4 linked regions of the Stegostoma tigrinum genome follow. The protein of the gene in region 3 purifies or fractionates together with the protein of the main gene of each other region. This does not show direct contact. Links are inferred from orthologs where the notes say so. Each region holds a gene or a part of one and is shown on either strand. Other genes may lie near its edges. The genes, in order: chtopa, protein LSM14 homolog A-like, prmt1 and SERPINE1 mRNA-binding protein 1-like.

The links.
Region 1: the proteins of prmt1 (region 3) and chtopa purify together in Homo sapiens (affinity purification with western blotting; 7 studies listed by BioGRID and IntAct, with this or other methods). This does not show direct contact. The link is inferred for Stegostoma tigrinum from reciprocal best matches to the Homo sapiens genes PRMT1 and CHTOP.
Region 2: the proteins of prmt1 (region 3) and protein LSM14 homolog A-like purify together in Homo sapiens (affinity purification with mass spectrometry; 3 studies listed by BioGRID and IntAct, with this or other methods). This does not show direct contact. The link is inferred for Stegostoma tigrinum from reciprocal best matches to the Homo sapiens genes PRMT1 and LSM14A.
Region 4: the proteins of prmt1 (region 3) and SERPINE1 mRNA-binding protein 1-like purify together in Homo sapiens (affinity purification with mass spectrometry; 3 studies listed by BioGRID and IntAct, with this or other methods). This does not show direct contact. The link is inferred for Stegostoma tigrinum from reciprocal best matches to the Homo sapiens genes PRMT1 and SERBP1.

Annotation. Positions count from the first base shown.
Region 1 is NC_081400.1:101,348-108,461, reverse strand, and holds the start of chtopa (chromatin target of PRMT1a), read right to left. Parts: upstream 3,081-7,114; 5' UTR 2,717-3,080; coding exon 2,659-2,716; intron 1-2,658. Other genes in the region: gba1 (lysosomal acid glucosylceramidase), read left to right, coding at 3,671-3,731, 6,083-6,274. UniProt on the Homo sapiens protein: Plays an important role in the ligand-dependent activation of estrogen receptor target genes. May play a role in the silencing of fetal globin genes.
Region 2 is NC_081369.1:64,935,351-64,942,691, reverse strand, and holds the start of protein LSM14 homolog A-like, read left to right. Parts: upstream 1-4,180; 5' UTR 4,181-4,315; coding exon 4,316-4,436; intron 4,437-7,341. UniProt on the Homo sapiens protein: Essential for formation of P-bodies, cytoplasmic structures that provide storage sites for translationally inactive mRNAs and protect them from degradation. Acts as a repressor of mRNA translation. May play a role in mitotic spindle assembly.
Region 3 is NC_081391.1:22,303,873-22,311,254, reverse strand, and holds the start of prmt1 (protein arginine N-methyltransferase 1), read left to right. Parts: upstream 1-4,179; 5' UTR 4,180-4,206; coding exon 4,207-4,224; exon of another isoform or gene 4,225-4,283; intron 4,284-7,382. UniProt on the Homo sapiens protein: Arginine methyltransferase that methylates (mono and asymmetric dimethylation) the guanidino nitrogens of arginyl residues present in proteins such as ESR1, histone H2, H3 and H4, FMR1, ILF3, HNRNPA1, HNRNPD, NFATC2IP, SUPT5H, TAF15, EWS, HABP4, SERBP1, RBM15, FOXO1, CHTOP, MAP3K5/ASK1, MICU1 and NPRL2.
Region 4 is NC_081361.1:51,678,729-51,686,571, forward strand, and holds the start of SERPINE1 mRNA-binding protein 1-like, read right to left. Parts: upstream 3,019-7,843; 5' UTR 2,910-3,018; coding exon 2,657-2,909; intron 1-2,656. UniProt on the Homo sapiens protein: Ribosome-binding protein that promotes ribosome hibernation, a process during which ribosomes are stabilized in an inactive state and preserved from proteasomal degradation.

The sequences.
Region 1 (7,114 bases), on a different chromosome or scaffold from region 3:
TGATTACACCAAGTTCAGAGCTTTTCCAACAAGCCAATCTAGCAACTAATACTTGACATTCAATGGCACATCATCACTGAACATTACGTGAGGAACTCACTTCCCATCTTCCTAAAACCAGTCCACCATTTATAAGGCACAAGTCAGGAGTGTGGTGGAACACTTGTCATTTGCCTGGATAAAGGTAACACTCAAGAAACTGACATCATCCAGGGCAAAGCAGCCTGCTTAATTGGCACCACAGCCAGAAACAATCATTGCCTCCACCCCCCAATACTCAGTAGTGCATTGATGCACTAAAGTAAATCACCAAAGATCCTTAGAAAGCATAGTCATACAGAACAGAAACAGACTCTTCGGTCCATCTCATCCACGCTGACCAGGTATCCTAAACTAAAGTAGCCCCATTTGCCTGCATTTGGCCCATAATCTTCTGGAGCATGCCATACTCTTACTGAGGCAGAGATAATAGGAACTGCAGATGCTGAAGAATCTGTGATAACAAGGTGTAGAGCTGGATGAACACAGCAGGCCAAGCAGAATCAGAGGAGCAGGAAGGCTGACGTTTCGGGCCCAAAACATCAGCCTTCCTGCTCGGCCTGCTGTGTTCATCCAGCTCTACACCTTGTTATCTTACTGAGGCCCTTGTGTTGCCCCTTTCAGGGAGTTATGGATTTGCACCCCAAGATCCCTCTGTATATCAATGCTCCCAAGGATCTTGCCATTTACTGTATACTGTCGTCTTGCATTTGACCTCTCAGAATGTATCAATTCATTTGACCAGGTTCAAATCCATCTGCCATCACTCCACTCAACTTTTCAACTGACCTATATTGTGCTGTGATAACAAGGTATAGAGCTGGATGAACACAGCAGGCCAAGCAGCAGAGGAGCAGGAATGCTGACTTTTGGGCTGAGAACCTTCTTCAGAAATGCTGTATCGTTTGACAACGTTCCTTACTTTTCACAACTCAACTAATTTTCATGTTGTCTACAAGCTTAGCAATCAGACCACCTACATGTCCACCCAGATCATTTACAAATATTACAAATAACAGATATGATCCTCGTATAACATAACTGGTTTCAAACCCACAACTGCTTCCATGTGGAATGACAAGGGCAGCAGACACATGGGAGCACCACGAGCAAGTTCACCCACCATGCTGATATGGAAATATATTCCCATTCCTTCAGTGATACTGGGTCAAAATCCTTAACCACATTGAAAGCCTACCTACAGCAATTCAAGAAATCTGTTCGCCCTTAACTCATAAGGTGATATGAGAGTTAGGTAAGACTAGAAGACAAGTAGGTCATTCAGTCCAGAGTTCTGTTCTACCATTCAATGAAATCACGGCTGATCTGTTAATCCACAACTCCACTTTTCTGCTTTCTTCACCCACAAACTCTCTATTCCCTTACCAATTAAAAATCTGTCAACCTCAATCTCAAATATGCTTAATGATCCAGCCTCAATAGCCTTTGTGGGGAGGAATTCCACAGATTCACAATTCTCAAGAAATTCCCCTTCATTTCTCTCTTAAATGGTATGATCTCAGAATAAGGGATCACACATTTGGTCAAGAGGAGACAACCTTTCCACATCTATCCTAATAAGGTCACATTGGGGCTAGTCTACTCAACTTCTTCTCATAACAAAGTGCTTCAGACCTCACATCAGTCTAGTGAACTTCTCTGGATGGCCTCAATTGCTTAGATAAGTTTTGAAAAATGTTTTGAAAAAGAGTCACTGAGCCGGAAGCGTTAACTCTGATTTCACTCTACAGATGCTGCCAGACCTGCTGAGGTTTTCCTGTAATTTCTGGTTTTGTTTCTGATTTACAACATCCACAGTTCTTCAGTTTTTAAGACCTGTATTAACATGGTGTTTAGCACACAAATAGATCTATGCTGCGCCTACAACGGTTATTCATTTGTTTTTGAGGTGGCGGATCTATGGAATTCGGTCACGGGGAGTGCATCGGATGCCAGGTCACTGAGTACTTTAAGGAGAAGGCAGAAAGATTTTTAACTGGAAACCGAAAGAACTGCAGATGCTGCGAATCAGGAACAAAAACAGAAGTTGCCGGAAAAGCTCAGCAGGTCTGGCACAATCCGTGGAGAGAAAAAATAAGCTGTTAATGTTTCGGTTCCGGGGACCCTTCCTCAGAACTGTATTACTCAGAATAAGTAATAGGATAATGCGTTATGAAGCAAAGGAGAAATTCAACCATGACTGTATTGAACGGTGGAGGGGTCTCGCTAGACTTAAATTGCCATCCTCCAATGTTCTAAGTTAAATTTTTTTGAGATTCATTCACAAGGATTCCCTGCACTCAGCCCTGTGTTTTATCTTCCTGCAGCCTTGCACTATTTAACACGATCAGCTCCTCGGTGCTTCCTGTCAGAGTGCCGATATTACAACAGACAACATCTAGCGCACTTCCGCAAGGAGCAGTTAGAGAGGCCAATAAACACAGGCCCAGCCAGCAAGTCCACCCCCATCCCCCGAACCCTCGATACGGGCCTGGAATTGAGGGCGGCTTTCACCAGGCGGAGTCCACCGCTACAGGCCGAAGCACCCTGAGCATCGTCAGCCAGGGACGAAAGACCCACAGGAGAGATGAGTTACAGCAGGCGGCCTTAGCCCCTTACCTGGTACTGGCAGAGCCGAGCCATACTGCCGCTGGCGGAGCTGAACAGCAGAATCCATGCGGCCAAGACAGAAATCAGTGCCAGTCCTGGGCAAGAGGGGGGATCACGTGGGAGGCAGCGGCGGCGAACAGACTCGGTCACGTGGGGGACGTGATGCCGTGTTTGGTCACGTGGGATGGCGGGCTGGCTCTCGCTGATGAAGGGTTCGTCTCGCTCCGATTATGTTAGAGGCGGTGGGAAGCTGGATGAACACAGCAGGCAAGCTGATGTCTCGGCCCGAAACGTCAGCCTTCCTGCTCCTCTGATGCTGCTTGGCCTGTTGTGTTCATCCAGCTCTACACCTTGTTACCTCGGATTCTCCAGCATCGGCAGTTCCTACTGGTTCTAATGTTAGACACAGCGCCGAGGGAGCGGGCGCTGTCGGCGGGGGGTCAGCGCCGAGGGAGCGGGCGCTGTCGGGGAGGGGAGGGGAGGGGAGGGGTCAGCGCTGAGGGCGCCCATTGCTCAGTACTGATCCTCTGACTACGCTGCGCCGCCTCAGTCTGCCACTTCTGACAGAACACCACTGGCTCAGGCACTGCACTCTGAAAGCTTTTAGATCACGCTTTAGGGCAATAACCTGGTGATATTTACAACAAATGCTACCAGTCCACTCAGGAATGAAGGATAGTCAATCTAAACATTGCCCAGTCTTACTCCTGGTAGTTCCTTATGCCTGGCTGTACACTGTAAAACCATAACAGTAGTTTTACACCGTTAAGACATCCGTCGAGTCTGCTCCACCATTCAATCATGGCTGATATGTAACTCAACCCTATTCTCCTGCCCTTTCATCATAACCCTTGTTCCCATTACTAACAAGAGTCCAGCTATCTCTGTATTAAACATAATCAAAGACCTGGATTTGGATTATATATTTAACATTTTTCCCTGTATCTTTTTGTTCAATTAGGATACAGCAAGGTATTGAAGAAACTAACAAGGAGAAACTGGAGCAGTTTCCTCCTCCAGGATGTCCACAGTTTGGTTCTGTTTGTGTTTTCTGCCTTTCTGGACAATCCTTCCAGTCTCAGGTGAGGAATTGTAATGTAAGTGGAGCTGAGAGTTATGTTTCACAGATTAGTGCAGGCACTGAGTCTTGTTCAGCAACCAGATTGGAAACAGTCTGCAAGAAACAGGTTGTTTCTTTTAAACTAGCCTGCTCAGCTGCTCCTGTAGACTGGTGTAGGTCCAACTCACTTTGGGTTAGGGTTAGTTTCACTGGGATGTTAGTTCACAATGCCAAATCCATCTTGGCATCAAAAATTGCATTAAATACTGAGGATTGAAACCTGTGGACTTGTTGCATCTGACCTGATCTAATAGGAATGCAGAATTTCTCAGCAGTACAGGACCTGAAAATGGCCATAACCTATATGAACAGATTTTCAGAAATTGTCATTATATCTTCTGCTCTGGGCTGGCAGATCCTGCACGTTACATGATCTTGTGCTCATTTCCCAGTCTGCACACGCCTGAACCTGTTCCTAGCAGTCAGATAAACCATATGGGATAGCTTTTCATCCAGGAGATCAGACATCATTGGGAGATGCTGAGGAGTCTTGAAAGGGTGTTTGTGGAGAGGATGTTTCCTATTCCAAAGAATCTAGGACGATGGGAGAAGAGACAATTTTTTTTTCTCAGAGTATTGAGAGTTATTAAAGTTCTCCCTCAAAAGGTGTTGAATATTTTTGAGGCAGATGTCAATAGATTCCTGTCGAGCAAATGTGAAAATTTATCATGATTGGTGGGAATGTGGAGTAATCAGATCAGACAATAGGTAATAGGTGCAGGAGTAGGCCATTCTGCCCTATGATCGTGGATGATCATCCACAATCAATATCCTGTTCCTGCCTTATCCCCATAATCCTTGATTCCACTATCTTTAAGAGCTCTATCCATCTCTTTCTTGAAAGTATCCAGAGAGTTGGCCTCCACTGCCTTCTGGGGCAGAGCATTCCATATATCCACCACTCTCTGGGTGAAGAAGTTTTTCCTCAACTCTGTTCTAAATGGCCTACCCCTTATTTTTAAACTGTGTCCTCTGGTTCTGGACTCACCCATCAGCGGAAACATGCTTCCTGCCTCCAGAGTGTCCAATCCCTTAATAATCTTATACACCTCAAACAGATCCCCTCTCATCCTTCTAAACTCAAGAGTATACGAGGCCAGTCACTCCAATCTTTCAACGTATGATAGTCCCACCATTCCGGGAATTGGCCTCGTGAACCTACGCTGCACTCCCTCAAATAGCAAGACTGTCCTTCCTCAAATTTGGAGACCGAAACTGCACACAATGCTCCAGGTGTGGTCTCACCAGGGCCCTGTACAGCTGCCGAAGGACCTCTTTGCCCCTGTACTCAATTCCTCTTGTTATGAAGGCCAGCATGCTATTAGCTTTCTTCACTGCCTGCTGTACCTGCTTGCTTGCTTTCATTGACTGATGTACAAGAACACCTAGATCTCGTGTTTCCCCTTTACCTAACTTGACTCCATTGAGATAGTAATCTGCCTTCCTGTTCTTGCCACCAAAGTGTATAGCCACACATTTATCCACATTAAAGTGCATCTCCCATGCATCCGTCCACTCACCTAGCCTGTCCAAGTCACTTGCATCTGCGTGAATAGTGGATTGGGCTTGTTGGTCTACTCCTGTTTGTAGTTCATTTTTTTTCAAGGATACTCCCTATTGGATCACTGTCACATTTTCCTGTTTTCTACAAGTTTCAACCCAAGGCTCTAAGTGAGGTTTTGAAATATACCCGTTGTCAATTATAATTGTAAAATCTGTTAAATCTCATCTGATAAATTACTATTTGAATCATGTACCAAAGTGTCACCAGTGCCTGGAACATTACCTCAGTGAAAGTTAGCACCTTCAAAGTGTAAGAAGGGATGAAAATGGGTCAGAGTATTGTTCTGGAGATAGCAGGAACTGCAGATGCTGGAGAATCTGAGATAACAAGGTATAGAGCTCGACGAACACAGCAGGCTAAACAGCATCAGAGGAGCAGGAAGGGTCTTGGCCCGAAACGTCAGCCATCCTGCTCCTCTGATGCTGTTTAGCCTGCTGTGTTCGTCCAGTTCCCCACACAGCATTGTTTTAACAGTTAATAAAATGTGAGGCTGGATGAACACAAGCAGCATCTCAGGAGCACAAATCTGCAGTTCCCATTATCTCTGAAAATCCAGCCTCACATTTTATTATCTTGGAATTCTCCAGCATCTGCAGTTCCCATTATCTCTGATAAGCTTTTGTGCTCCTGAGATGCTGCTTGGCCTGCTGTGTTATCCAGCCTCACATTTTATTATCTTGGAATTCTCCAGCATCTGCAGTTCCCATTATCTCTGATATTGTTTTAACAGTTTTTGCTTCTCTTTTCAGCTGGTAAACCATGTGATGCCAGGAGTTTTGGGGGTAGCTCGGTGGTTTGTATTTGCAATGCGACATACTGCGATACAGTTGATCCACTGCGGTTGCCAAAGAAAGGCCATTATGTTTTGTATGAAACCACTAAAGCTGGTAAGCGGCTTGAACACAAAACAGGAAAAATCCTCACAAACACCAAACAACAAGGTAAGGTTTGCAGTTGCTGCTTATCATGTGTTGCGAAGTTGGGTGGAGTACTTGAGGATTAGCAGGCATGAAGTTAGAATTTGGTATTTGTAAAATGCTAGAGGGAAAAGCATGGAGTGGTCCCTTTAAAAGATCATGTGCTTTTCCTATGCTTAGTACTTTAAAAGGAATGTCTGTGAGCAGCAGCTCAAAAGTTTGCAAGTACATAGACAGCTCCCAACATGAAACATTTGTATTGAAAAGCTACACAGTTAGCAGGCCAAGCAGCAGTTTATCAAGACAACAAGATTTTTAATTTAGCCAATCAATTTGAACCTGGGACTTGGAGACCAAAAACAGCTACCTAGAATACACCTCCTCCCACCCACCCTCCTGCAAAAATTCCATCCCTATTTCCAATTCCTTCGCCACATCTGCTCCCACGATAAGGCATTTCACTCCCGCACATCCCAGATGTCCAAGTTCTTCAAGGACCGCAGTGGTCGAGAACGCCCTTGACCGCGTCTCCCGCAACACATCCCTCACACCCCGCCCCCGCCACAACCGCCCAAAGAGGATCCCCCTCGTTTTCACACACCACCCCACCAACCTCCGGATACAACGCATCATCCTCCGACACTTCCGCCATCTACAATCCGACCCCACCACCCAAGACATTTATCCATCCCCACCCTTGTCTGCTTTCCGGAGAGACCACTCTCTCCGTGACTCCCTTGTTCGCTCCACGTTGCCCTCAAACCCCACCACACCCGGCACCTTCCCCTGCAACCGCAGGAAATGCTACACTTGCCCCCACACCTCCTCCCTCACCCCTATCCCAGGCCCCAAGATGACTTTCCA
Region 2 (7,341 bases), on a different chromosome or scaffold from region 3:
GCTGTTTGGCCTGCTGTGTTCATCCAGCTTCACACTTTGTTATCCCAGCTCATCCCTGCCTCCCTAACCTGTTCTTCCTCTCACCCATACCTTCCTCCCACCTCACGCCGCACCTCCATTTCCTCCCTACTAACCTCATCCCACCCCCTTGACCTGTCCGTCTTCCCCGGGCTGACCTATCCCCTTCCTACCTCCCCACCTACACTCACCTTCACTGGCTCCATCCCTACCCCTTTAACTCGTCTGTTTCCTCTCCACCTATCTTCTCCTCTATCTGTCCTTGATCCACCTCCCCCTCTGTCCCTATTTATTTCAGAACCTTCTCCCCATCTCCCTTTTCTGATGAAGGGCCTAGGCCCAAAACCTCAGCTTTTGTGCTCCTAAGATGCTGCTTGGCCTGCAGTGTTCATCCAGCCCCACACTTTGTTAACACAAATTGTTTCATTTGTGTAAGCTGTTGTAATGATTATGTTGACACTCATTTACATTCTTCTCCCTTCACAATGAAAAATCACAATCAAAACAATTCCCCTCATTCATCTTCTAGTTAGTAATGACATTTAGTTCAGAGACACATAAGTTGTGAAGCTGTGAGATTGTTTTCATCATTGTAATAGTGGTGAATTCACTAGCTTGCATTGCCTTGAGTATAGAAGATTAACGGGTGATCAACTGGGCTGTTCAGAATTTTAAATGCATTTGATAGGATGGGCAACACTTCCTCTGATGGAGGAGTCCAAAAGAATGATGTATATCAATATAGCACTGACTCTTTGAAACAAAATCTAGACCCTTCATCAGAAATGAGGGAAGGGAAAGGAGTTCTGAAATAAATAGGGAGAGAGATGGAGGTCAATAGAAGATGGATAGAGGAGAAGGTAGGTGGAGAGGAGACGGATAAGTCAAAGAGGCGGGGATGGAACCAGTAAAGGTGAGTGTAGGTGGGGAGGTAGGGAGGGAATAGGTCAGTCCAGGGTAGACAGACAGGTGAGGTTAGTAGGTAGGAAATGAGGGTGCGACCTGAGGTGGGAGGAGGGGATAGTTGGAAAAACAGGTTAGGGAGGCAGGGACGAGCTGGGCTGGTTTTGGGATGCGGTAGTGGGAGGGGACATTTTGAAGCTTGTGAAATCGGGTCTAGTCTGGAAACGTCAGCTTTCCTGCTCCTAAGATGCTGGTTGGCCTGCTGTGTTCATCCAGCTCTACACTTTGTTATCTTTTAAAAACAAGGTTGTACTTCTCTTAATGTTGTCAAGGAACATGGAGTATGACAGGTAGACTTTCTCCTTCATCACTTGCTATAGGCTTTGTGTAGCAACAGCATCGGTTCTGGTTTGGCCATCTCAATCAGTAAGGGGGCTGCCAAGTTATTCCTGAAATCCATCTTTATTGATCTCAATACCAGAGGAAAAGTTGGACCAGCTGGGCTCAGACCTGCTGTAGTATGCAAGAGTAAGAGGTGACTTGAATGAATCATTTTTGATCCTGAGGAAGCTTGACAGGATGAATGTTCCAGAATGTTTTATCTTGTGGGAGAGTTTAGAACTAGGGGATCACCACTTAAAAACTATTAAACAACATTTTTCTTCAGAGTGAGCTCTAAGTTTTGGAATTCACTTCCTCAAAAGGCCATGGAAGCAAAATCTTTGTGTATGTGTAAGGTAGAAGTGGATAGCTTCCAGGAAGCAAGAGAGGTGAAAGGTAATTCTGGGCTACAATCACATCATCCACCATACATTTAAATAGCACAGCAGGCTCCAGGTATTAAATGGCCGACTGTATTTTTATATTCACATCTCCATCAGGAGTACTTTATGTCATAGAGTCACAGAGGTCTACAATACAGAAAAATATACTTCAGCTCATTGTGTCTGCATAAGTCAAAAACAACCACCTAACAATTCTAATCCCATTTTCCAGCACTTGGCCCATAGGTTTGGATACCTTGGCATCACAAATGCTCATCTAAATGCTTCTTCAGTGTTATGAGGATTTCTGCCTCTACCATCCTTGCAGGCAGTGAGCTGAAAATGTTTTTTCCTCACATCTCCCCTAAACCTGCTGTCCCCGGTCATTGATCTCTCCAACAAAGGGAGAAATTGCTTCCCGTCTACCCTATCTATACCCACATAATTTGACACATGTCAACTATGGGATTTCAAGACAAGAGGGCATATTTTAAAGGTGAGAGGAAAGAGATTTTAAAAAAGACGTAAGAGGCAATTTTTTTACACAGAGGGTGGTTCACGCGGGGAATGAGCTTCCTGAAGAAGTGGTGGACATGGGCACAGTTACAACGTTTAAAAAACACTTAGCTAAGTACTTGAACAGGAAAGGTTTGGAGAGATATGGGCCAGGAGCAGACAAGTGGGACTAGTTTAGTATGAGATTATGTTCAGCATCGATTCATTGGATCAAAGGGTCTGTTTCTGTGCTGTATCGCTCTATGTCTATGACTGTCAATCTCTTCTCCATCTCCTTTGCTCCAGTCTGTCCAATTTGTCTTCAAAGTTGAAACTCTCAAGCCCAGATAACATCCTGGTAAATCTCCTCTGCACCCACTCTAGTGCTATCATTCCCTCCCAAAATGTGGAATCCAGAACAGCAGTATTCTAGCTGTGGCCTAACCAACATGTTTCACAGTTCCAGCATAAGCTCCCTTCTCTATGCTTCAACTAATAAACATGAATATACCAGATACCTTCTTCACCATAAAGACATACAGCATAGAAACAGACCCTTTGGCCTACTGTACTCAATGTTCCCTTGGCCTACTATGTCTATGCTACCAACAAACACTAATTTTGTGGTCCTGAGTAATTCCATTTACCTGGACTTAGCCCATGGCCTATCATGCCCAACACTTAAGTACTCATCCAGATGATTCTTAAATGTTGTGAGAGTATTTGTCTCCATCACCCTCTCAGGCAGCACATTCCATATTTCTACCATTCTCTGGGCATAAAAATTCTTCCTCAGATCTCCTCTCAACTACTTGCTCCTCACATTAAACTTATGCCCTCTGGTCTTAGACACATCTGTCATGTGGAAGAGATTCTTTGATCTGTTCTGTCTATGTTTCTCATAATCTTTTATACCTCAGTCCCAGCCCACCCACCCCCCCCAACTTCCTCTGCTCCAAGGAAGACAAACCCAGCCTATTCAGTCTCTCCTCATAACTGAGACTTTTCATCCTAGGCAACATCCTGGTGAATCTCCTCTGCACCTTCTCCATTGGCACATTGTAAAATTCTTTCCATTCTTCTGATTTTTTCCCCTTTGTTTTAATCTTATACAATTCTGAACCTCCTTTGTTAGCTGTAGTTGACTGATCATTTTTGAGGTTTGGCACATTGAAGGAATATACAGTTGCTGCAAGACATGTAATCATTCCTTAAAGACTATCCATTGTCTATGGACAGTCATGTCTTTTAATGTATTTTCCCATTCCTCCACCATCAATTTGTGCCTAACTTTATTTTCCTGTTAAAATTGAATACCCTTGCTTCAAATGAAACTTCCCCACTTTTAAACATAAAGCAAAATTCAATCTTATTGTTGTCACTCAATCCTAAATAAATATTTTCGAACAACATTGAACTAGTTATGACTTTAAGTTACAATAGATCAGGCCTAAACTAACTTTTTTTGTATGTGTAGGCATATTGTTGTCTGGCCTGGTGTAGCATGATCTTCCTTGCTATTTATGCTCAGTGATGCCCAGATCCATTATATCATCGTAACATTGCTCCAGGGTCTTTAAACCCCTAAATCACAAACGATTTCAAAATGTAGCTTGCAAATCCAGAGGTTGTTATTATTTTGTTATTATTTAGATAGAAATGCAAATATTATGTGTGTACTTCAAAATTTTTGGTAAATGCCAGCTAGGTTTAGAAATAAAACTAAATCGTGGAGCAGTTCCCAGCTCTCACTTCAGATTTCTTCAATGATTTGAGAAGTTAACTTTTCCAGCAATGTTTTTGAGTTAGTTTTGGAGAGTTACGAGGTGCAAGCTTCCGAGAGAGAGATGCTTGTTCGCATCTTTTAAGATTTCGTCCTGCAGAGAGTGAGACTGGTGTTGTGCAAAGAGAGGGAAAGAAACAGAAGGAAAGTACTGGCTGAGTGGGGGAAGGGCCTGGCCACTGGAATATGAAGGCAGCCATGTTGGCTGCTGCCTGAGCGAACGTCACGGACCGGGGGGGTAGGGAGGTGGATAGAGAGAAAGAATAGGCCGGAGCGGGACGGTAGAGGCAATCCGCATTCATCCGCTGCCTCAGCTCCCGCAAATAGTGGTAGGCACTGCACAGCTACCATCATGAGTGGGGGTACTCCTTACATCGGCAGTAAAATCAGCCTGATCTCCAAGGCAGAGATCCGATATGAGGGGATTTTGTACACCATCGACACCGAGAACTCCACCGTCGCTTTAGCCAAAGGTAAATGGCGTAGAGGCGCCGGGCCTAAGAATACGACCCCATCCCTTGTGAATAACTCTTGTCTATAATAATCCCTCACATTTCGACATTCTTATCGCTAAAGAAACACAATTTGTTATTTAAACGTCGGGCAGTTTATCCCTTGTTTTAAAAAAAACTAAAATGGCGGGATTTGTCAACAAGAGCTTCTGTTCTCTTAAGTGTGTTTAATTGTATTTCAATCTGAGCTTTAATTTGGATGTTTTCTTACTTTCTTTGGGGAGGGGGTGGGGAATGTGAATTTTATCAATATATTCTAATTGGATGTGGTAAAGAAAGTGGGGAGTGGTCGGTGGTTATAAAGACAACCTGCTACCCACATCATAAACAAAAATAACTAAGACATTTCGTTTTAATATTTCTTTGTATGACTCACTGCTTTTAAATTGAATGGCTGCTAAATCAATCCGATTTGTTCGTCAAATCAGATAACACTGTTGCTCCTTGCAGTTCGTTATCCAGAGGAGTCTCCGCTTTTGTGGTTTTCATCCTCAATTTAGTGTTTATAATGTTTATATTGCAGTGTCTTCCAAGCAAATTGTTATATAGAAAATTCGCTGATAACTTTTAAAATGTTAGCTGCAGTAACTTTCATTTGTCTAGTGATAATGAAGCAATATTCTGATTGCTATTTAGATTATCTCTGGACTACTTCGAAGTTCCAAATCTTTAACGTACGTAAGAATTTCATGGTTGAGGTTATTTTTGTCTAGTTATTGGCAAGTAACGTGTTATCCAATTACCCCTTTTGTTGGAAGTAAACCCCAAAATAATAATTAGATTTTAATGAATTTGTGAAGATGTTGAATTGACTTGAGAAGGTAATTTTCTGAGCAAGTGTTTTAGCTTGAGGTATGATAATAGTGCACTCCAAAAAGCACTGATTTGTCTGGTTACTTGGGTTAAATGGGCATCTGTCTTTCTGTTGAAAAGATTTAGTTGGATAGTTTTCCAATAGACTGGAAAATCTAAAACACTTCAATTTGGAACAACCTAACGTGATTTTTGTGTTTGTGTTGTTTACAATGATTTTGTATAATGTGTATTCTTCAATAAGGCTTTACTTTGACTACCTATCGTTGGGTCTTTTAAGAGTTGGAAATTGGTGACTCCTGAGGAATTTATCGATGTGTTGTGGTGCCCACTACAAATAATTAGTCTAGAATAATTTTGTAAGTTTATAAATGTAGGAAAGAAGAGATTCTGTTTGTGGCAACCTCTGTTCAAACAATTTAACAAGTTTCTTTTTCTTTTGTTCATTCCTTGTAGCCCTGCAGATTTTGCCTCTCTAGATGTCCATCTAATTTCTTTTTAAAGCTATTAAGGAATCTGCTCTTTTCCATCTTTTCTGGCATTGCATTCCAAATCAAACCCACTTGCTGAATACAAAAAAAACTTGGCACTTTTTGGCCTTTTGTAATCTCCTTAAATTTGTTTCCCCCCAGTTCTTAACCACCTTGAACATGGGAACAATTTCTTTCTGCACTGAGTTTGTGTTGTGACGTGGACCAATTCAATCACATCTCCTCTGAATCGTTACTTTTCAAAAAGAAGAACTGCCCCAGTTTCACCCATCTAAGCTTGTGACTGGTCCCTGGAGTGAGAAGCTTTGGAGATCTGCCTCATTCGTTCCTAAATCAGGTGCTCAGAAAGAAAACATTTAATCTAGCTCCTCTGGTAAATTGTGTATGATCAGTTGAACAAAATGACCTTGCTTCGGTACACTGTACGATTCTGTTTTCTGGTGTCTGTAAGCAAAACCCAAAATTGTCCAGGATTAGAGTTGATACATGGGAATTCTTTCTGCTGACTGAAATGACTGGAGGCCAGAAGTCCCGAAAGGATGTGGGAAAAGGCAGAAGATAAAATAAATGACTAGCAGAAAAGACCACCAGCCGGAAGGAGGAAAAAGTTACATCTGTGAATCCCACGCTAACATTATTCCTCTGTGCTGGCTGCAGAAGGCATTGCTGCTTGGAAGTTGACCTCTTGCGACAACAGGTGATGTTCACACCAATGACATAAGACCTGAGTACAGTCTGCTGTGTTTCAAAATGCATGGGTGCCATTAATGTCTTTTCCATGTGTTTTCTAACTCTTTCTCAATGATATAAATGGATTTATAGTACAGAAATAATCTATTCTGGCCAGTTTTTGAATGCCACAGAAGTTTAGAAAGTTTGAGGATAGTACCATGAAAGGTACCACAGAACCTCTACAGTGAAAGCTGGACATTTGGCCCATCAAGTTCATGTGACCCTCTGAAGAGGGTCCCACTCAAACTCAAACCCAAACCCAACCCCCGACTCTGTTCCTGTAACCATACACTTCCCATGGCAAATCCACCTAGCCTGCTCATCCCTGAACACTACGGACAATTTAGCATGGCCGTTCCACCTAACCGCCTCAGCTTTGGACTCGGGGTGGGGTGGGTAGGAAACTGGAACGTGTCTGGAGGAAATCCATGTGGACGTGGAGAGAATGTGCAAACTCCACACAGACAGTAGCCCGAGGGATGGAATTGAACCTGGGTCACTGTTGCTGTGAGGCCACAGTGCTAACTGCTGCAGCACCCATTTTCTTCCACTTTACGTCATCCTGCCCCAATGTCATATCTTTAAATTATTTCCTCCCTTGCACTTGCCCATTTTCCCAGAAGTGTGTATTAAAGAAGCCTGTACCTGTCTTGGAGGTGAAGGGCAGAGATTCACGAAAGTTTTTTTTAAATTCATTTGTGGGATCTGTGCATTACTGACTGGCCAGCATTTGTTGCCCTTGAGGGTGGTGGTGAGTTACCTTCTTGAACTACCATAGTCCACTGTTGTGGGTTGACCCACAATGACACGAGGGTGGGAATTCCAGGATT
Region 3 (7,382 bases):
TTGAAGCTCAACTCTAATTTGTAAGGATCTTTTAACATCCTCTGTACAGATGTTTTACAAATAAATGTCTTTCTAATGAGGTGTGATGAGACACTTATTGTTTTTCCTCAGCATGGATGTCTGATTCTGATTTTGTCATAGAGGTACACAGACCCTTCGGCCCAACTCCTCCATGCCGACCAGGTTTCCTAAACTGACCCAGTCCCATTTGCCTGCATTTGGCCCATGTCCCTCTAGACCTTTCCTATTCATTTATCTGCCCAAATGCCTTTAAAATGTTGTAATTGTACAGCCTCTACCACTTCCTCTGGCAGCTTATTCGATATATGCACCACCCTCTGTGTGAAAAAGTTGCCCCTCCGGTCCCTTTTTAAATCTTTCTCCTTTCACCTTAAACCTATGCCCTCGCGTTTTAGATACCCAATGCTGAGGAAAAGACCTTGGCTATTCATCTTACCTATGCCCCTCTTTTTTTTTAAACCTCAATAAAGTCACCACTCAGCCTCCCATGTTCTAGGGAAAACAGTCCCAGCCTCTTCCCTATAATTCAAATTTTCCAGTCTCAGTAATATCCTTAAATCTTTTTTGTCCCCTTTCCAGTTTAATAACATGTACTGTTTCAACTTTTGTCTCCCTTTGCAACAATGGAACGTGCAACCATATGTTCTGCTGCATGGACCCTAAGCTCTTAAATTCCTTCACTAAACATCCTTTCTCTCGATCATTCTCCAAGACCTTGCAGGGGTTTACGGGGCCTACCAGCTTCATCTGTTTTTGGTTTAAATAGAATCACAGAATCCCTGCAGTACAGAAGCAAACCACTTGGCCCATCGAGTCCACACTGACCTTCAGGAGAGCATCCCACCCAGACTTTAACCCCCCCCCCCCCCCACCCCCCACCCACCCCCCCCCCCACCCCCCACCCTATCCATGTACTCTTACATGGCTAACCCACTTAGCTAGCACATCCCTGGGCACGATGGGCAATTTAGCATGGCAAGTCCGCTCTAACCTCCAGATCTTTGGACTGTGGGAGGAAACCAGAACACCCAAAGGAAACCCATGCAGACACAGGGAGAATGTGCAAGCCCCATACAGACAGTTGCCCGAAGCTGGAATCAAACCCGGGTCTCTTGCGCTGTGAGGAAGCAGTATTAACCACTGTAAACGTCTGGTAATGCGTTTGTGAAATGTCTTGAGTCACTTAGTTAATTAGAAGTATTGGTTATAATTTGGCTTATTCCAGAGCTTAAAATTAGTAGTTAAATGGATCATCAAGGATGTTTGCAACCAAGAGGAGGCATTCCTCCAGCATTTAATTCAAATCCCTTGGTCAAATTATGGTCGCTGATGACTGGATGTGCAGAAGGTGAGTGATGATTTCATGGTTAGATTGCTGTCTCATTCACCTTCCTATTTTTGTGAAAGTCGACAAGTTATAGTCTAACAGGTTTGTTTGAAGAGACAAGCTTTCGGAGTCTCGCACCTTCTTTAGGTGTCAGTGACTGACATTGTTTTTATGAAGGCTAGCTGGAGTTCCTGCTCATTAAAATGGAACTTCAGTGGTTAAGAAATGATGAGCTTCTGTTTCCATATTGCCTTGATCTCAACTTCAGGATACCCTATAATGTCTTAGAGCTAACAGTGTAATTTTTAAGGGTAGCCACTGTTGTCCCATGGAAGACATAACTGGCATCGTGGAGAATTTCATTGTCTCCTTCATTGAAAAGAGAGAGCCAAGTTATGTGATATAATCTAAACTGTGTAGTGATTTGCCATTGATCTGTGATGGTCAGGCAAGTGTTGCATGCCAGAAAGCAAAACAGAAGTTGCTGGAAAAGCTCAGCAATCTGGCAGCATCCGCGAAAACAAATCAGAGTCCAACATTTCTTGTGCAGTGACCCTTCCTCAGAACTCTGCTGCCAGACCTGCTGAGCTTTTCCAGCAACTTCTGTTTTTATTCCTGAATTACAGAATCTGCAATCCTTTTGGTTTTTATGTTGTACAGCAGGAGCACGTTAATAGATTCCTTTGCTTTCCAATGTTTAGTCTAATCCCTACTTTACCGCCTCCATTAATGTATGGTTAGCAGCTCAGCCTCTGAATATGCAGACGTGCAGACATTATCTGCAGGTGGTAGCTCAATGCTAGAGGTTGGGGGTGGCGTTGTTTCTGGGCTGGGGACTACGCAGGGTGGACAGTTTCCTGCTCGTGTAAAGAAGCCGCACTCTGGCTGGAACCTTCATGGATGTGGAGTGGAGGGAATACCCTTTAGAACTGAGATGAGGAGGAGTATCTGCAGCCAGAGGATGGTCAATCTGTAAAACTCATTGTCACAGACGGGTGTTGAGGCCAGTCGTTGACTGTATAAAAGACAGTAATGCATAGGTTTGGAGGTTACGATGAGCTGGCAGGAAAATGGTGCTGACAAACACATCAGCCGTGAACAAATGGTGGACCAGACCTGATGGGCTGAGTGACCTAATTGTGCTCCTACATCTTTAAAGGTCTTCTGAATTATTTGAGCAGGGAAGATGGAGAATAATGTTGCTATAATTCAAAACTTTGCTTGGCCTGAGTTTACACAAAATTGGGTTTGTAGCACATTCATTGGTGAGAACTATAATTTGCATGTTCTGCCAAAGAGATTTTACTGAACTTGAAATGTTAACTGTGTTTCTCTCTCCCCAGATGCTGCCAGACCTGCTGAGATTCTCTAGCATTCTATGTTCTGTTTCACAGTTTACAGCAAATGGAGGATGATAAATGACTTTAAGAGGATGTTACACAATCCCACCTAGTTGACGGAGTTAGAAGCTTTTGTGAATTCAGAGAAGGCTGTGTATAGAAATGGCTGCTGTCTGCACTTTTCTTGGACTTCTCTTGTAAGGATCCAAAAACAAAGGGCCACAAGACCCAAAACGTTAACTCTGATTTTTTTTTCCACAGATGCTGCCAGACCTGCTAAGATTTTCTAGCAATTTCTGTTTTTGTTCATGATTTCTTGTGGGTTTTTATTTTCTAATCAGTCTGTTCAGAGAGATTATTACACATGGTGCATGTATGGAATGAGCTGCCAGAGGAAATGATAGAAGCTGGTGCAATTATAACATTTAAAAGACAGCTATATGGGTTTATGAACAGAAAGAGTTCAGAAGGATCTAGGCCAAATGCTGGTAAATTGGGGTAGATTTAATTTAGGAGATTTGATCAGCATGGACGAGTTGGGCCAAAAGGTCTGTTTCTGTGCTGTACAAATCTGTAACTCTACCTCTTGAGCAGGTGGGACTTGAACCCAGGCTTTTTCATTCAGAGGTCAAAGCAATAGTACTTTGCCACAAGATCCCCATTAAAATGGGATTAGAATAGCGAGACGGTTGATTTTGACCATCACTCAATGGGCGGAAGGTTCTTTTTCTGTGCTGGAACCCTGTATGACTCTATGCACTCTGGAGCAGGTGGGACATCAATTCTGGCCTCCCTTTTGGGGATAGGTGGACTACCACTGTACCATCACTGTCATTATCAAATCTGACCATTTGTGCAGCCAACTTGAGGGGTTGCGTGACCTCCTCCAAATCCTCTAAGTTTTATGTTCTGAAAGTTCCAAAAGGTCGAATATTTCAGATGTGTAAACGGCAGTGAGCACTGTATGTAGTGTGCATCTAAAGGACAGATGTATACCTAATGTTTAGGGGTTTATCCTTCCAGGTTGTGGGATTTAGAGTAAACTTGTCCTAGTAACCTATGGTATATGTATTTAGATTAGCCTCCAAGCGAGAGGATGCTCCGAACTAAATGACTGACTCCACGTGTGTGCGGCTGTAACCTTCAGTATTTCCTGATGGAGCGTATTGGCCAATCGGAAGTCAGAGGAGGGCCGACTCCGGGCGATGGTCCGCCTCCACAGACTGATAGGCATGTGATGTATGCAATGGAAGGAGGCCGTTGGAGCCTGGTCCCGCCTATCAGACGCGCCGCCCAATGGGAAGGAGAGACGGCTCGATGTGACGGACTTTTGAAAGAACCAATGGGTGTTGGGAGCCGCAAGCGGTGGTTCCGATGAGCGGTCAGCCTGACCAATAGAAGATGTAGAGGTGGGGCCGGGGTTAAAGACCGAGCCAATGAACGACAGGTGGAGGGGCGGGGAAACCAAGGCGTCGTGTATAAAAGCGATGACGAAGATGACGGCCCTTCTTTCACAAGATGGCCGAGTGCATGGAGGTAGGTGCTGGAGGGCGGCTTTGAGGACCGCGGGGTCGAAGACGAGTGTGGAGGTCCAGGTTGGCTTCGCAATAAAAGCCCGACGCGGTGGTTTTGATCAGTTAATTAATAAACATGGTGTGATTGGTGAGGAGGGGGGCGCCTCAAATTTAATTAATTGTCCGTGTGGTGGGGGGGGGGAAATGTTCCCGGGGAGGGGGAGGGTGCTGTGAAACGAGGCCTCGAGTTATTGGCCCCCGCCCTGGGGTGGGGTTTGTTAGCCAGAGGATAGGCCCCTTGGCGGGAGAGGGAGGTGCATTACTGTCCCCCCCCCCCCCCCCCACCCCCTCCCTCCTTTGTGGGGGTGGGTGAACTTTATTATCGTTCTTCCCCCCCCCCCCCCCCCAAAAAGACTTCATTCCCCACCCAGCTCTGCTAGTCATTGTAGGTATAGAAGAACCCCCCCCCCCCCCAACCCTCAAACACACTCACCAGCTCCATTATCCCTTCAGTGTTTCACAATTTTCACTCCTTCCACCTGCTTCCTCTTTCTCTTTCTTTTTCTTTCTCTCTCTCTCTCTCTCTCTGTGTCTCTCTCTCTCTCTATCCATCTCTCTCTCTCTCTCTCTCTCTCTCTCTCTATCCACGTTTCTAATTGAAAGCAGTCCAGCTTACCTTTCTGTTTCAGGGCAAATGAGATAGCTGGTTGAGGGGGTGGGGAATGTCCCTTTGTTTGCCCTCATGACGGTTCTCAGTCTGAATCTCCCATCTATAGCTTGGAGCCAACTGTGCATAATTGTCTTGCTTAGCAAAGCGTAATTTTTTTTCTGGACTTCTTTTCACTTGAGCCAAAAGTTCTCTTTACCACCCCCGCCCCCCAACACCCCACTTTCCCTCCCCCGCTGCTTGAGAGGGGCTACTGGCCTCAGTTGTCTTTGGACGCTCTGGCCTTAGGTAATGTGTCGATTTTTATCTCCTCTAAGTTCTGTCATGTTGGGTCCACTTTTGGTTTGTGGAGCTGGGACTTTTAAGGTTTCTTAAAAACTGTGTCTGTGTTTATAAGTTGACTTACCAGACCTTCTATCCAAATCCATGTTTAGCCTCATCCTCCCTGTCAGAATTGTGCCTGAGGTTTGGTTGACACAGTAACCTCGAGTTTCTTGTGATTTTTCTTGTAAAGTTTACAAAGGCTGTTAATGCTGAATTGAAAATCTGTCAGTCTCACTGATTTTGATATGTGGCTAATGCGTGCTCATGAGTTCTGTGGTAAAGTTTATACAGGCTTAATACAATTTCCTGAATTTGTATTAATCATGATTTTAATATGAAGTTAATACATGTTCATAATTTTCTCTAAAATTTACAGATGCTTAATGCTGTATCCTGAATTTGTATTAATCTCACCAATTTGAATGTATAGTTAATGTGTTACAAAAGGTGCAGTTTTATGGAGCCATACAACATGGAAACAGAATGTTCTGTCCAAACTCAGCTAGTCCCATTTGCCTGTGTTTGGTCCAAATCCCTCTAAACCTTTAATATTAGTTTCAGTGATAATAGTGTGGAACGAGAGGAATGCAGCAGGCCAGGCAGCATCAGAGGAGCAGGAAACTTAGAGGGGTGTACGGGCAATGAAAGTTTTTGTTTTTAGTGGGGTGAGAGTGGTAGTAAACGTCAACTTTTGGGACCCTTCTTCGTGACCCGAAACATCAACTGTCCTGTTCCTTCAGCTCCACACTGTTATCTCTGACTCCAGTATCAACAGTTCTTGCTATCTTCTATTTCTTTCAGTGCCTGTTTTAATGAGGTAATCCTGAAGGAATGCACCAGTCACTATTAATTTTAGGGATTGTTTCTGACCGTAGCTCAGTTTAGATCTTTAGGTGCTGTTAATTTGTTAAATTATTTTTTAAAAGAAAGTCTGATTTATAAGGGGAGCATCTGAGTAGTGGGGTAGACGTTTTACATCTGTCATCTACCACTTTGTTCACTGAATCACCTCTTCCTACATCCAGTTAGGTGCTGTTTCCTGTCCTCATTAATTTTACATCACCAAATCTTCAAGCATTCTCATTCTGATTTTTGGGGTTTTTTCATGTCTTCATCCTCCTTATTGAGCCATACAGCAGGGAAACAGACCCTTTCATCCTCTCATCTGTGCTGCCCAGACGTCCCAATCTGATCTAGTCCTGTTTGCCAATATTTGGCCCGTATTTCTATTATCTACCTATCCAGATGTCTTTTAGATTTTGTAATTGCACCAGTCTCCAACACTTCCTCTGGCAGTACTTTCCATATGCACACCAACCTCTGTGTGAAAACCTTACCCCTGAGCTTTTATCTGTAACCCTGTCCATTATTGTTCACTATTGTTTGCACTCATGTTCTTTCACTCTTGTGCATTGCTGACCCTTGACCAGACACAGCTGACAGTGCAATGTCAGGTAGCTGTGTCCTGTGTTCTGAAATCGTCTCCTTCCACACACACTTCTCGAGTATGTGTCTTGTGTCCTCCCTTGGCTTCTACTGTGTTTTTGTGAAGGCACTAGATAAGTGCGGGCTAAAGCTAGGAGCTGTGAATGACGAAAGTTCCATTGATTGCTTCTTGATTTTATATATTTATATCTCTCATTCCAACAGCTCCTACCTCAGACTGGAAATTTTTCCTCCCCTGTTTTGGGTGAAATCGGTTATTTAACATTTCTGTTTGGTCTGTACGTCATTTGGATTTTTCTTTGGAGTTGGGAGCTTTTGAAGTTTTCCCATCAAGTGTGCATGGGCAAATGTGTCTCACTAACTTGGTTCAGTTTTTGTTTTGAAGAAGTAACAAAGAGGATTTGCAGGCAGAGTGGTGAACATGTTCTATACAAACTTCGTGAAGGTGTTTGACAAGGTCCCTCATGGTAGACTGGTTAACAAAGGCTAGAACACTACAGGGAGAACTATCCATTTGGATACAGAACTGGTTTGAAAGTAGAAGACAGAGGTTGGTGGTGGAGGACTAGAAGCTGTTGACCAGTGGTGTGCCACAAGGATCGGCGTTGGTTTCACTGCTTTTTGTCATTTATATAAACAATTTGGATGTGAACCTAGGAGGTATAGAACATAGAACAGTACAGCACAGAACAGGCCCTTCAGCCCACAATGTTGTGCCGACCATTGATCCTCATGTACGCACC
Region 4 (7,843 bases), on a different chromosome or scaffold from region 3:
CAAAACAGGTCAATTGGTCACTTATGGCTTAATGTATGATTTTGCCTTAAAAAAAATTCACTTCAATAAAGAGAGATAACAAGGTATAGAGCTGGATGAACACAGCTGGCCAAGCAGCATCAGAGGAGCAGGAAGGCTGACATTGTGGGCCTCGACCCTTCTTCTAGGCCCAAAACATCAGCCTTCCTGCTCCCCTGATGCTGCCTGGCCTGCTGTGTTCATCCAGTTCTACACCTTGTATTCTCAGATTCTCCAGCATCTGCAATTCCTATTATCTCTCTCTTCAAAAATATTTAATTGCTGTGAAGCACGAGTGGTACTAAAAAAACTCTTACAGCAAGTCCTTGAATAGAAAACTAGTACATATTACAAATTGAAATGAAAATTCAATTAACTTTGAGATCCACTGTTTAAGAGGCTTGCATCTACCATCTCTTTTTCTTTGATCTCAAGCATGAGACTTTGAGGGCACATTTAATTATTTAAAGTCAACTTTCAAATCTGCACCTCTATCAAGGTTCACACATGTTTAGAAAGAGGATTTAGACACTAATGAATTAAGTGTTAAGCACCAAACGTCAAAACTTTCAGGCTCACCAAATTGAAATGGAAATGCCTGGATTCCAAGGGCCAACTGCAGCAAGGGATACACCTCACGTGATATCATTTTTTCTGGTTTTACTTTCTGAAGGCACAAGAGATGGATGCACCAAACAGACATGCAGTCAGAGGTGAAACTAAAAGATGTGCAAAGAAATTTCTGTATTTACAACGGGACAAAACTAATATTTAATGATGAACATCTTTGCACATCTAGTGTTAAATTTGCCAGTGGAAAAATATTCCAAATCCCATTTTAAGCAAATCATAAAGCCTAAAAAGTTAATTCATGAATAACAAGATATGTAACCTAATTTGAAGTAAACAACAGTACATATGAGGAGCTCCTCTGTACGTCTAATCAAATAAAGCCTTGGATTTTAGTAAAGGGACCTTGAGGGAATGGAGTATTCACTCATACCTGTCTACTTGTATTTTATAAATAACTTTCTCATTGTGTATATAGAAAAAAAATTTCTGCAAAAAAAAAAGAATTTTCTAATGTTATTTTACAAAAGATTATTGATTCTCAAAATTATGTCTAAAAAGGTAGTTCTGGTTTATTTCAAAATCAAGAACTGATTTATCTTTAAAACTATGTAGCTGGAGCACCATGATATTTTACACCTATTCTACAAACCCCAAAGTGGCCCCAACAAAAGTAAGATGTATCAATCAGTGTTTAACACGTGCTGTAGCTATTTTAACCAACCTGCTCAAACACATTAAGACACATGTCTGAGACAGGTGATGCTTCAATCCAGACCTTCTAGTCCAGAGGGTGGAAAACTACAACTGTTCTGCAAGAACACTCTGAATGCATGGTGTTTGCAGTTATATAAGTGAAATCTCAACAATCCAACACACATTTAACAAAATTATACTGTACATTACACTGCAAAGAGATTGCTTACTGCTAACAGGCCAGACTTCAAAACACTTATATCAAATAATATTGCAGAACAAATTAAGTCTGATAGAATATACATCCTGCTACAACTGAGTTGAAAATGGTAAACTGAATTAGAGATAGCAAGAACTGCTGATGCTGGAGTCAGTCAACGCAGAGTGGAGCTGGAGGAACACAGCAGGTCAGGCAGCAGAGAAATAGGAAAGTCAGCATTTCAGGTCAGGATCCTTTACTGAATTAAAGAAAATTGCAGCAGATAGCAAGGCACAACACCTTCGAATCTCAAGCAGGAAATACTGCCAGTACAAGATAAAAGCGATTACACGGACGCTTATATTGTTAAAAAAAAGTTATATTTTGAAACGAAGAACAGTACATCAACACGTGCAAGATTTGGGGCAACACCCTTTAGCCTAAAAAGAATGGACGAATCCTTCTGACCCAGCACGTGGGTTTCTTAAACTGGTTTACAAACCACAAGTAGCTTTCATCCACAAACTTGTCATACAGATTTCAAGTACACTCGCTATGCTTAAATTATTCACTTAAAAGAGATGTATTCCAACAAACCACTGCATTAAAACCAAAAAAAATCTGAGACAACAAGTAAGTGTTAAAAGTCGATTTAGGTCTGCGAGAAACATGAAGTTCGGACGAAGGTACAAGTACTGTTATAAAGTCACCGCCCCCTCCCCCCAACCTTTCAAACCTGCTCCATGCCACCGGAGTGACAAAATAAACTGAACGCTCTGTATTAAATGGCCCTCAAACAGTGAATGAACTATCCTTCATCCATTAAAATAACACAACGCGAGAAGGGACTATGGGTGTCAGTTTGTTCGATTGCAAACCTCTCCCCATTCTCATTTCGAGAGTGAAGCCACAGCACGCGGATTTGCAGGGACAATCCCACCAGCACAACCACCCCCACACAGGCAAAGGCCCAGCCCGACGGGAGATGCCTAGGCTGGAGATAAAAAGCCCGGGAGTCTTTTAGGAAGCAGTCAGTCCCTCATGCTTCCTAAACCTGGCATTTGCCATGAGCGACTCTATAAAACTAGAACAACTGCAACACGCTCTTCTTCCGAATACCAACTCCTGCGAATAATGAATGTAATAAGAACATTCCCGCAGAGGATCCAATACCTTCTTTTCTCGAGGTCACGGGAGCTTGGGACTCTGGTTTCGCATCGCTGGATGTTACGGGCACCTTCCTGTCCTTCTGAGATTCCTTTTTGGGCTGCTGTTTAGATGCGGCCGTCTTGTTGTCTTTCTCCTTCTTGTCTTTCTTGATTTCAGCCTCTTTTAAAATCTCGAACGGGTCAGATTCATCGCCAAATAGTTGGTCGAACCGATTGGTTACGACGCAGCCGAAGCCTTCCTGTAAGTTCCCGGGCATGATGGGGCCCCTCAAGTGCGGATTCTCCTTGGATGCTGCAAGGCTGCAGAAACCGCTTCAATTAGCCTCAAAATGGCCGGTTAGAGACGGTCTTCTTGCTCGCGTTGCATCTTGGGCCGCGCCATCCGGGCACTAGCCGCGCAACCTCGGCTGCCTGCTGGGGAATGTAGTCTTTTTCCTGGCCTTCCGTTTGATCGCAGACACCCGCGCCCGCAAGGAGCAGACCACATTTCCCAATGTGCACCGCCTGCTCACTGTTGTGCCAACCCATGTGAGACATGGTGTCAGAGAAGCTTATTCCGAATGGGTAGACTCAGGCAGCTTTTGCAGTCTGCATCCAAAAATTCTTCATATCAAAATATTGTGGATGGTGGAAATCAGAAATAAAAACACAAAATGTTGTTAATGGTTAGCAATGAGAAAACGGTTTAGATTGACAACCTATCATTAGATTTGTGTAGAAAACTGCAAGCATATCCAGATGTTTTTATTTCAATATTCAACATGTATGTCTATTTGTGGAAAGGTGGAGACCCAGAGGACACCGTTTGTGGTGACTGGCAAAGGATGTGAGGAAAAGCTTTTTCAGCACAAGTAGTTGGGATAGGAATATACAGCCTGAGAGGGTGATGGAAACAGATTTAATTACGCCTTCCAAAGAGGTCTAATATTAGCTAAACAGAGCATATTTGCAGATCCAGAGGAAAACGGAGGGGGTTTGGGAATAGCTGATCACTTTCGGAGAGCTGACAAAGGATGAACCATTCTACAATTCTATTACCTACATGTAATATGGACGATTTCAGTCATTATTCCATTGCTCAAAGCGTTGCTCAATAATCTTTAGGTAGAATTCAGTCCAACACTTCAGATGCTTGAAAACCTATGGAGGAAGCAGTAATTGCAAAGAGTGACAGTAATCTCCGAGGATATGGATCTTCTCTTCGGTCTAGTAAAGATATAAATTCACAAAATTAGATTATGTTCTATATCCTTAGTTAATTAAACACCTGTCATGGGGCATATGTGTCCTTATTATTCTATCATATCTGCACCACTTTGCACTTGCATTAAATTTTATCTGTCATTCACTGGCTCAGAATCAGAATGTTGTGGGTTCAGTTCTAAGGACTAAAATTCTTGCTGACAATCCAGTGTGGTACTGAGATTGTTGCATTGTCAGAGGCATCATTTTACAGATCAGTGACTAAACTGAGGCCCTGACTACCTCTTTCAAATGGACATAAAAGATCCCATTATTTTGTAGAACAGGATTGCTACCCTCGATTGCCTGCTTAATATTTATCCTCCAATCACTGTTTCTTTCAGTTTTGTTCACATTACAAAAGATCATCATTGTGGATCATCCTTCTCCATTTGTTATAAACCATCATTTCTGAATTTGGTGTGTGGCTTTAGAGCTCAATATTTTTCCTGCCACTTATCCTTGTTAATTACGTTACACATTGACTTGTCAGCCATCAAAGGCTGGGTTCTTCCATAGCCAACTAGTCCTGGAGCGAGACTTGAAATTAGAGGACTATGGATCGGAAGCGGGGAGGCTACCACATGAGTTGAAGACCACTGCACCACAAGAACTCCAAAGATTCTTATCTAATACCTCTCCCTCAATCAACATCATAAATAAACCATTACCACATATGCTGTCTTTTGGAACTTGTTCTCTCTTGTGTTTTGTACAATACAACATTGATTATACATTAAGATCTCTTCATTAGCTGTAAAGCTGCCCTGAATTCATGAAAACCACTGTACAAATGGATTTTATTTTGGTCTGTGTTATCGCTCATACTTATTTTGTGCAGTTGATGTTGTCTACATGAACATCAGTAAAGCCTTGGCAAGGTCCCTCATGGCATAACATTAATTTTCAAATCGCTGCCTCTACATCAACTGCCCTTCCCAGTCTAGTATCTTGAGCAAATATGATAACTTTGTTTGAAGTTTCTGAGTCTAACGCTCCAATAATTATGAAGGTATAGAGAGGGAGTGGACAGGTGGGAGTGTTGGCAGATTGGAAGCCAGTGAATGTGGACAACATAAAGGTCCTGCTGAAGTTATAGTAAGAAATTTGAAACTTCCTTCTTATATCATAGCTAGTCATTACTTAGGTTGAGAAGCTATTTGGCAGGAAAGCCTGTACCACTAGGCCAGAACCAAGGAGCAGGAACAGAAAGAGTGTGTGTGTGCGCGTAGCGGGGGGGGGGGGGGGGGGGTGGTTGTGGAGGTGTGGGGTTGGGTGGGGGGGGGCGGTTTTGACAGGGGTGGTTTGAGTTGGGCACAGATCAGAGCATGGATTGAGACAGAGATAATGGGAACTGCAGATGCTGGAGAATTCCAAGATAATAAAATGTGAGGCTGGGTGAACACAGCAGGCCAAGCAGCATCTCAGGAGCACAAAAGCTGACGTTTCGGGCCTAGACCCTTCATCAGAGAGGGGGATGGGGAGAGGGAACTGGAATAAATAGGGAGAGAGGGGGAGGCGGACCGAAGATGGAGAGTAAAGAAGATCTATCTTCTTTACTCTCCATCTTCGGTCCGCCTCCCCCTCTCTCCCTATTTATTCCAGTTCCCTCTCCCCATCCCCCTCTCTGATGAAGGGTCTAGGCCCGAAACGTCAGCTTTTGTGCTCCTGAGATGCTGCTTGGCCTGCTGTGTTCATCCAGCCTCACATTTTATTATCATGGATTGAGACAGTTTGCTTAAGGAAAACTCAGCACTCCTACTCCTCCTGGCACACAAACAGTGCTGGAAAGACTTGCCAGCTGTAGCCTTCTCACCTCTCTTTGGTTTTCCTAAGCCCTGGAAACTCAGTCCATGCCATTAGACAAAAAAAGGTTTTAGAATTTGAGGCAGGCAGCCTGATTAAATTATTTAAATAATGAGCCAACTCTTTGAGAGAATAGTTAATCTGTGAGATCAGACATGACCCTGTTGAATGGCAGAGCAGGCTCAAGGGGCAAATTCCTGTTCCCATTTCTTATGGTTTAGCACTGGAAGTGGCAGTATTGGACGCGGGTCAAGTCCAGGTTCCTTAGTTTGTAAATTTTAATCCCTCTCGCACTCTTTGTTCCTGCAATCAGGAGCATTCAATCAATTTTAGTTTAAGAAATATAACACCTATCCTTTTTTGGACACTGTACGGAATTTGGTCCAGTGACAGTAAACTATTTGCGTATATTTTAAAGAAAATGCCTGTCTCTCCCCAACCCCATATTGTTAGAGCAAACCATTCATTGACAGACATCTCTGTATCCTCTCTGACCACAAGTGAGGTCCCAGAGGACTGGATTATAGCTAATGTTGACCCATTGCTTAAAAAGGGTAACCAGGATAAACCAGGAAATTACGGGCCTGTGACTTTCACATCAGCGATAGGGAGATTGTTAGAAACGTTCCCCAGGGACAAGACCTATATGCATTTAGAAGCAAATTGACTTATTAGCAAATCAACAGCATGGTTTTATGCAGGGGCAAACGTGCCTCACAAACTTGATCAAGTTTTTTTGAGGAGGCGACTAAGATGATTGACAAGGGAAAAGCAGTTGATGTTGTCTACATGGACTTCAGTAAAGCCTTGGCAAGGTCCCTCATGGCAGACTGGTATAAAAGGTGAAGTCACATGGTATCAGGGGTGAGCTGGCAAGATGGATACAGAACTGGTTTAATCATAGGAAACACAGGTAGGGTAGCCATGGAAGGATGCTGTTTTGAATGGAGAGCTGTGACTAGTGGTGTTCCACAGCGATCAGTGTTGGTACCTCTGCTGTTTGTGATCTACACAAATGATTTGGAGGTTTACAGACAATGCAAAGATTGGTGGAGGCATCCCTGATGAAGGGTCTGGGCCCGAAACATCAGCTTTTGTGCTCCTGAGATGCTGCTTGGCCTGCTGTGTTCATCCAGCTTCACACTTTGTTAAAAAAGATTGGTGGAGTTGTACATAATGAGGAGGATTTTCAGAGAATACAGCAGGATATACATCAGTTGAGGCATGGGCAGAAAAATGGCAGATGGAGTTTAATCCAGATAGATGTGAGGTGATGCCTTTTACAAAGTCAAGTACAGGTGGAAATTATACAGTGAATGATGGAACTCGAAGGAATAATGATACACCGAGAAATCTGAGTATGCAAGTCCACAGATCACTGAAGGTGGCGGCACACGTAGATAAGGTAGTTAAAAAAATGCTTATGACATGCTTTTCTGAAGAAAGGTCTAGGCCTGAAACGTCAGTCTTCCTGCTCCTCTGATGCTGCTTGGCCTGCTGTGTTCATCCAGCTCTACACCTTGTTATCTCCTATGACACGCTTGCCTTCTTTGGAAGGAGCATTGGGTACAAGAATGGACAAGTTACCCTGCAGTTTTATAGAACTTCAGTTAAGCTACATTAAATATTGAGTACAGTTCTGGTCACTATGCTATTGGAAGGATGTGGATGCTTTGGAGAGTGTTCAGAAAAGGTTTACCAGTATATCGCCTTGTATGCGGGAATTTAGCTCTGAAGAAAGGTTGGATAGACTGGGATAATGGGAACTGCAGATGCTGGAGAATTCCAAGATAATAAAATGTGAGGCTGGATGAACACAGCAGGCCAAGCAGCATCTCAGGAGCACAAAAGCTGACGTTTCGGGCCTAGACCCTTCATCAGAGAGGGGGATGGGGAGAGGGAACTGGAATAAATAGGGAGAGAGGGGGAGGCGGACCGAAGATGGAGAGTAAAGAAGATAGGTGGAGAGAGTATAGGTGGGGAGGTAGGGAGGGGATAGGTCAGTCCAGGGAAGACGGACAGGTCAAGGAGGTGGGATGAGGTTAGTAGGTAGCTGGGGGTGCGGCTTGGGGTGGGAGGAAGGGATGGGTGAGAGGAAGAACCGGTTAGGGAGGCAGAGACAGGTTGGACTGGTTTTGGGATG